2 linked regions of the Canis lupus familiaris genome follow. The protein of the gene in region 1 purifies or fractionates together with the protein of each later gene. This does not show direct contact. Links are inferred from orthologs where the notes say so. Each region holds a gene or a part of one and is shown in the gene's direction. Other genes may lie near its edges.

Region 1 (3,650 bases):
CAGTCAGTTGAGTGTCTGCCTTTGGCTTAAGTCATGATCCCAGAATCCTAGGATCAAGTCCTGCATCAGGCTCCCTCCTCAGTGGGGAGTCTGCTTCTGTCTCTCAAGTAAATAAATAATCATTCAAATAATTCATAAGCAAATTGTTATAAAAATTTGAAGCAGCATGTGGGTGGGTGGGTCAGCCAGTTAAGTGTCTACATTCCAGTTGAGTTATGATCCCAGGGTCCTAGGATCGAGCCCCACATCTGGCTACTTGCTCAGCTGGGAGTCTGCTGCTCCCCTTACCTGTGCACTCACTCTCTTACTCGCTCTCTCTCAAATATATATTTTTAAAAATGTAAATATACAGTGCACCTGGGTGGCTCAGTCAGTGAAATGTCTGCCTTTTGCTCAGGTCATGATCCCAGAGTCCTGGGATTGAGTCCTGCATCAGGCACCCTGCTCAGAGGGGAGCCTGATTCTCCCTCTCCCACTCCCCCCTGCTTGTGTGTGCTCTCTGTCAAATAAATAAAATCTTCAGAAAAGTGTAAAAATTCTGTAGACCACCACCTGTCACAGTACTTTATCCTCAGGTAAGCACTGTCACCTATTTGTTGTCACCTGTCTTTCTGGACCATTTAGTACTTTTGTATATATAGCTATATATGGTTTTCAGTTGTAATTAGTAATAGTTCTGTGATAACGTTTTCAGTAGCTATAACGTTTGCATGTAGTTATAATACATGCAAATAAAATGCCTTAATGAAAAAAAAGTAGCTTAATTATTGATTTCTTGGAAATTCTTATGTGTAAGTTTCTTATACTCATTTAGAGCTTTTCTCATCCATAGGTGATGCTGGGAGCAGAACTCCCAAAGACCAGAAGGTGAGTTGGGACGGGGAAGGTAAAGATGACAGGTAAGAATAAGAAGATGGGAGAAACTTCTGGCCTGACCGTTCTGTCAGTTCAGACATCAACATAATCACGCACTCTATAATCAGCCCTGTGGGCTCTAGTCCTCTTACAGCTGTTCTAAGGATGCAGCAGAGGTTACATAGATGCATGCCCTGAGTGATGTATGAATGTAGAATTTGGCAGTGACCAGCTAGGTGAGGTTAATCAAGAGAATTTCCCTAAAGCTGATTTCTGAACCAGATTTCTAAGGAAGGGCAGTTTTCTGGGACACCTGAGTGGCTCAGTGGTTGAGCATCCGCCTTGGGCTTGGGGCGTGATCTTGGAGTCCCAGGATCAAGTACCACATCGGGCTCTCCCCACAGGAAGCCTGCTTCTCCCTCTGCCTCTGCCTCTGCCTTTCTGTGTCTCTCATAAATGAATAAATAAAATCTTAAAAAAAATAAGGAAGGGCAGTTTTGCCTGATAAAATAACCATAACTTCTCAACCATAACCCATTCTATTTTGTTTTTTGAAAGACAAGTTCTTATTCTCAAGTCTAACGTGCTATTTTATTTTATTAAAAAAAAAATTTTTTAACATTTTATGTATCCATTCATGAGAGACAGAGAGAGAGAGAGACACAGGCAGAGGGAGAAGCAGGCTCCATGCAGGGAGCCCGATGTGGGACTCGAACCTGGGACTCCAGGATCACGCCCTGGGCCGAAGACAGGCACCAAACCGCTGAGCCACCCAGGTGATCACCTAACATGGTATTTAAAAACTTGTTTCCCTCATCACCTTCCTTACAGCTCCGTGAAGCTATGGCTGCCTTAAGAAAGTCAGCTCAGGATGTCCAGAAGTTCATGGATGCTGTCAACAAGAAGAGCAGTTCCCAGGATCTACATAAAGGTTAGGGTCTGGAGGTACCTCGCTCGGTATAGGTGGTGGGAATGGGGGAGTGAATTCCTACAGAGATTTCATGGGTAACTGGCTTTGTTTTAGCGTCTCAGAATCCTCATCCACCTCCGTTGGGTCCTTTAAATACAGGTTTTCCTTGTCTGCTTAAGTCTTTTGTCTGCTGATTTTCAAATGTGTAGTGGCTTTATTATTTTTTTTTAATTTTTATTTATTTATGATAGTCATACAAAGAGAAAGAGAGGCAGAGACATAGGCAGAGGGAGAAGCAGGCTCCATGCCCCGGGAGCCCGACATGGGATTCGATCCCAGGTCTCCAGGATCACGCCCTGGGCCAAAGGCAGGCGCCAAACCGCTGCGCCACCCAGGGATCCCTGTAGTGGCTTTAAATACATTTTTAGGGGGCAGCCCTGGTGGCGCAGCGGTTTAGCACTGCCTGCAGCCTGGGGTGTGATCCTGGTGACCCAGGATTGAGTCCCACGTCGGGCTTCCTGTATGGAGCCTGCTTCTCCCTCTGCCTGTGTCTCTGCCTCTCTCTTCGCTCTCTGAATGAATAAATAAATCTTTAAAAAAAATAGATACATACATACATACATACATACATACATTTTTAGGGACGCGAGGGTGGCTCAGCGGTTAAGCGTCTGCCTTCGGTTCAGGGCATGATCCAGGAGTCCCGGGATCAAGTCCCCGTCAGGCTTCCTGCATGGAGCCTGCTTCTCCCTCTGCCTATGTCTCTGCCTCTCTCTGTGTGTGTCTCTCATGAATAAATAAATAAATAAAATCTTAAATAAATAAAATACATTTTTAGCTTCGTGCTCATGATTACTTCTAGATGGAGATTAGGGGGATCCCTGGGTGGCACAGCGGTTTAGCGCCTGCCTTTGGCCCAGGGCGCGATCCTGGAGACCCGGGATCGAATCCCACGTCGGGCTCCCGGTGCATGGAGCCTGCTTCTCCCTCTGCCTGTGTCTCTGCCTCTCTCTCTCTCTCTCTCTCTCACTGTGTGCCTATCATAAATAAATAAAAAATTTAAAAAATTAAAAAAAAAAATAGATGGAGATTAGAAGAGAGCAACTCAAACTCTTACACAGAGGTCTGAGGGAAGCTTTGTCAAATCAAGCTGTTAATAAATCCTCTACTGGAAAATGTTTTATAAGTGCTACTTAGCATTTAATGAGTATAATTAATATTGTTAATAAGGAGTTGAGAACACTTGGTTAAAGTGAGTGTTCTTAAATTACATGTGAATTTCAATTATGCAGGTTTTTCCTGTTAGCATAAATAGCTAAGTCAGCTCTGTTTTTTTGTTTCTGCCCAGGAGAGCAGCGAAAGTGACTAAGAATCAATGAATATCCCCTTTCCCCAGTTACCATATTGTACCTTCTTTACGTTTCTATTTACTATCCCCAATCTATGCCATATCTTTTTAGAATTTTTTTCCTTTCTTCTGTAGGAACCTTGAGTCAGATGTCTGGAGAACTGAGCAAAGATGGTGACCTGATAGTCAGCATGCGCATCCTGGGCAAGAAGAGAACAAAGACATGGCACAAAGGCACTCTTATTGCCATCCAGACGGTTGGTATGTTCAGGCTAGAAGAGCTAATGAAAGGCAACCTACAGGTCTCCATTGCTGATCGATCATTTCTTTTTCCCATAGCTTTGCCTTTTATCTCTCATGTAGCAGTCAGGATTTACACAGAAGCTGATGGTTTTAAAATTTTTTGTGTATCTTTTCCTTTTACTCAGGACCAGGAAAGAAGTACAAGGTGAAATTCGACAATAAAGGAAAGAGTCTACTGTCGGGGAACCATATTGCCTATGATTACCACCCTCCTGCTGACAAGCTGTTTGTGGG
Region 2 (4,090 bases), on another chromosome or scaffold:
GAATTTAAAATAAAAAACGTTGAGTTACGTTTGTCTTATTTTTGAATTTTATTATGTTAAATTTTAAATATATACAGAAATAGAATGAAATAACTCCATGTGCCCATCACTCAGCTTGAACAGTTATCAATTTGTGCTAATCTCCTTTAAGCTGTATGCCTACCACTTTCCTATACCCTTAATGAATTTTAGTAAATATCTATATCATGTGATGGATAGACTCAAAATCACATAGGGCAGCTAGATCTTAAGAAGGGTAAACCAAGGAAAAAAGGAGAAGGTAGATTTCTTAGATGATATGAGCTACCAAGCAAACAGTTCCTTTCTGTGCTCTTGTCTTTCTCTTCTCTTGATGGGTAGGTTACTTCCAAGACCAGATATGTTGGGATCTCTCTCAAATTTGTCTTGTTAGTATACTCACTTTCATATTGAATTTTAGTCTACTGTTCTCCCTTTTTGGTTTTTATCCCCCGGGGTGCCTACATTCCTTGTTTTCCCCTCATATTAAAATGTTGGGAGGTCTGAAGCAGGGAATGAAATTTAATTTGCCCTGGGACCAAACACTCACCTGGAGTTATCTTTGTGGCTATCTGGACTACAAAAGCGAAGAAATTATTTTATCTTTAGGGCAGATTCCTCAAAATAAGCTTTGTTGCCAGTATAGCTGTAATGACTCTAGTCTCTTCCCTGCAGTTATTTAAAATTATTGTCAAGATTCAAAAATTTGACTGCAAGCTTTAACCATTCTGCTAGATTTCAGTACTTGGGGGCTTAGACTCTGTGGTGGAAAAAAAATCTTTAATTAGCCTTCTATAAGTAGAAATTGACTATCAGGATTTAAACAATTTAATTTTCCAGAAACTATAAAAATTGGCACTCTTTTCATGATAAAAGTACTATAAAAGACAAAAAAAAAAGGCCTTGAGCAGACTTTTTTTTTTTTTTTTTTTTTCTGGACTGAAATGGAGGCTTTCTTTCAAGCGTATTCCCTGATGTTTGCTGTGTGTGATTTGGCTCTATCTCTGTAACTGCTAATATGTGGCATGGATTTCAGGCTGTCTGGGATCTGGATGTGCCCAAAGTCTGTATTGCAAGTCCGGATTCACAGGCATTGTGTTACAAAACTGGCTTGCTGCCTTCTCTGTTTTCTGTGTCCTAGGCAGCTGCATTGTTTGTTGCAGTATATGCATTAGCTGTTGTCAGTGTTCAGTTTCCTGCAGACTGACAAAGTGGGAGGGGCTTTGTTTGATACATAGCTGAGTTTTCACTGTGTGAGTTCTTGAGTGCACATTGCAGCCATCTTAATTACACTTTAGTGCAACTGAGACAGTGCAGCTGTCTCAAAATGGCTGCTGACCTGGTCTTTGTAGCTGCTTAGGCAGCAACTATGCCAGTGAGGAGACTTGGCACATGCATCAGGACCAGAGGTAAGAACCAATTACTCTTTATCTTTGACCATTTTAATTAAAGAATACTTGAATTTTACTGAGTTTACATAGCAAGGTGAACTTAGAGCTTGCTTGCTAGGAAGTTGAAATGTTTGCTTTAAGCTTCTTTTAGGGAAACAGTACTTAGGATGGTGAGGTCAAAGGTTAAATTCCTGTAATTTCTCACCATTTTATGTTCTGTCATTGTCAGAACATTTGATCACCACAATAGTGTTTTCTGACCTTAAATAACTTAATATTTTTTTTGTGTTGGATATTTTAGTTTGTTTGATATATTTTTTTTTTTTTTTTGTAGAAATTGAAAACAATGTATTTGCTGAATAGATTTTTTTTGGGAAAGAAGCCATAAATAAGCCTTGTTTCGCATGAAGAGTGAGATTTCTGTGTGTGTGTGTGTGTGTGTGTGTGTGTGTGTGTGTGTTGGAGCTATTGTTTGGTAGCTTTCTGGGAAGAATGTTAATTCTCTGAATATAAGTCATAGCACAGAAAGAAAAAAAAATTTTAACAGATTTTTTTTGTACTCTGGGTTCTAATTCTTTCTCATTATGCTGCCTCCTCTTGGCCATTTAATTCTTTCACATTTTTAAGGGTCCTAACTTTTTATTCTAATTACTTTTTCCTTAAATTGTCATTCAGATTTTTTTTAAATAATAAATTTATTTTTCTGTCATTCAGATTTTGAATTAGAAACAAGTTCATATGTAGGTCTGCATACTCCTTTTCTTTCTAGCTAATGTATTCTAGTGCAAGAGAGCTTAAATAAATACTCAGTTGTTTTAGGTTAATATTAATTGTTGATATCCACTTTAGTCTTAGTTAAAACCTGTGGTATATTTAAAAATAATGTAATTCAATGATTTTGTAAATTTAGTTTCACAGTTTTCAAAAGACTTTAACATTCTTCTGAAGTGGAAACATTTATTGAGATATGGTAAGTCAATAGTGACCCAGAGGGTAAGAAGAATGAAATTTTTATTTACATAATATTTCAGATAGCAGAAATTTTAAACTCTAGTGTTTAAATTGTGGTACTTACTAAAATTTTTAAATAAATGGTATAGTACAATTCTTTAGTTTTGTCAAGGGATATATGAATATATCCCTGACTAATATGACATAGAACAGTAAGTTTTGAACTTTCTAAGTACTGCAACTTTAGAAAACAACTTCTTGCACATTAAATTCTTGTGATTGACCCCTGTATTTAAAAGTGATACATATGATATTTTATTGGTTTGTATTTATTTTCCAATTTAAAAGTATAGTATTACTCTAAGTTTATTTTATAAAAGAACAATTAGGCTTTTACAATGAAAACAAAAGTTTGAAACCAGATTATTTATCACAATTATAATCTTTCATTAGTGTCAGGAGGTTGCTTATTTATTAGGTTGCTTATTTGTAGAACTTTAGTTGCTAAGAGACTGTAGAATTCATTTTGAGAAGTATTCTAGAACCTATATTCTGTATGTTCTTTTTAAATTTCATGACGGTAAAATATAAGATCTATATTTACACAAGTTAACAGTTTGAAATTGCTGTCTTGCCACAAAATTGCATTTATATTTTTTCTTTTTTTGACAAATTTTTTTCTTAATCATTGGTCATTTATTCTTTGGCTTCAAATATATTTGGGGTCACTGATTCAGTTTCATCAACAAATTTAGTATATTTCACTTCATTTACTTACTACTCTTTGAAATTGTTAGGAGTCTTTTATGTGATATAATAGATTATAATAATATGAACATTACATTATATAAATCCAGTAATATGAGGTTGCCCCCAAAAGAATAGAACAACAAATTTAGTGTTGTGAGAGAGATTTTATCCATCATGCCTTTCAGTAAGGTTTTGCCCTAGAGTGAATATGACATAGGAAGTGAATGTGCTATGTCCTTAATCATGGTCATTTTCATACCTCTCATAGTTTGAACCGCTCACTGTATTCAGATATTTTATACAATTCAAGCCAGATATTCAGTTTGTTCTTCATTACTGGAGAAAAACTGGTTAGGTTGAAATTATCAAAGCAGTTTATGTTGATCTTCAAAGTAGGACCTTGGGGAAATTTTAATGATCTGCTCTTTTTGCCTTCTATCCTGGATTATAAAATTTACCTTCAACGTCCACAAGATGACTCCATTGATTATTGCTTATACATGGGAAAATACAAAGTGGTTACTTAGGTTATTATTGCTAATTCTTTCAGGGCTGTGTTGCATTTTTGCAACTATAAGCATAAACTAGACCTCACTGGGATTATTACTTTTGGGACTGATGACAGTTTTCAATTTGTCTGTGCTGAATTCCAGATTAGCTATTAGGCTGCATAATTGAAGGCATAATAAATCTGGGAGCTGGATAATTAAGGTTTAATGTTACTGTTTTGTCGCTATTTGTACTCCCTATTTGTCCTTTTTTTCTGAGCCATTTCTTTAAGCATGAACCTTAAAGAAAATGTTGAAGTTAGTGGAGAGAAACCAACTGAGTTCAAATCTAAATTTGAATTGCTTTTACTACTTCTTATATTGGTGAACTCATTCTATGTTCTGACTTTTGCTTTCTAATCCTTAAAATGGGAAAAAATTGCCGTTTCTTTGGCAAGGATATGCTGAGAATCAGCTTACATCATGTTTCTG

What was found.
Region 2: the proteins of SETDB1 (region 1) and ATF7IP purify together in Homo sapiens (affinity purification with mass spectrometry; 6 studies listed by BioGRID and IntAct, counting the BioPlex papers as one, with this or other methods). This does not show direct contact. The link is inferred for Canis lupus familiaris from reciprocal best matches to the Homo sapiens genes SETDB1 and ATF7IP.

Annotation. Positions count from the first base shown.
Region 1 is NC_049238.1:60,704,600-60,708,249, forward strand, and holds part of SETDB1 (histone-lysine N-methyltransferase SETDB1), read left to right. Parts: intron 1-832; coding exon 833-867; intron 868-1,686; coding exon 1,687-1,786; intron 1,787-3,248; coding exon 3,249-3,374; intron 3,375-3,541; coding exon 3,542-3,650. UniProt on the Homo sapiens protein: Histone methyltransferase that specifically trimethylates 'Lys-9' of histone H3. H3 'Lys-9' trimethylation represents a specific tag for epigenetic transcriptional repression by recruiting HP1 (CBX1, CBX3 and/or CBX5) proteins to methylated histones.
Region 2 is NC_049248.1:14,001,816-14,005,905, forward strand, and holds the start of ATF7IP (activating transcription factor 7-interacting protein 1), read left to right. Parts: upstream 1-1,173; 5' UTR 1,174-1,410; coding exon 1,411-1,427; intron 1,428-2,319; exon of another isoform or gene 2,320-2,379; intron 2,380-4,090. UniProt on the Homo sapiens protein: Recruiter that couples transcriptional factors to general transcription apparatus and thereby modulates transcription regulation and chromatin formation. Can both act as an activator or a repressor depending on the context.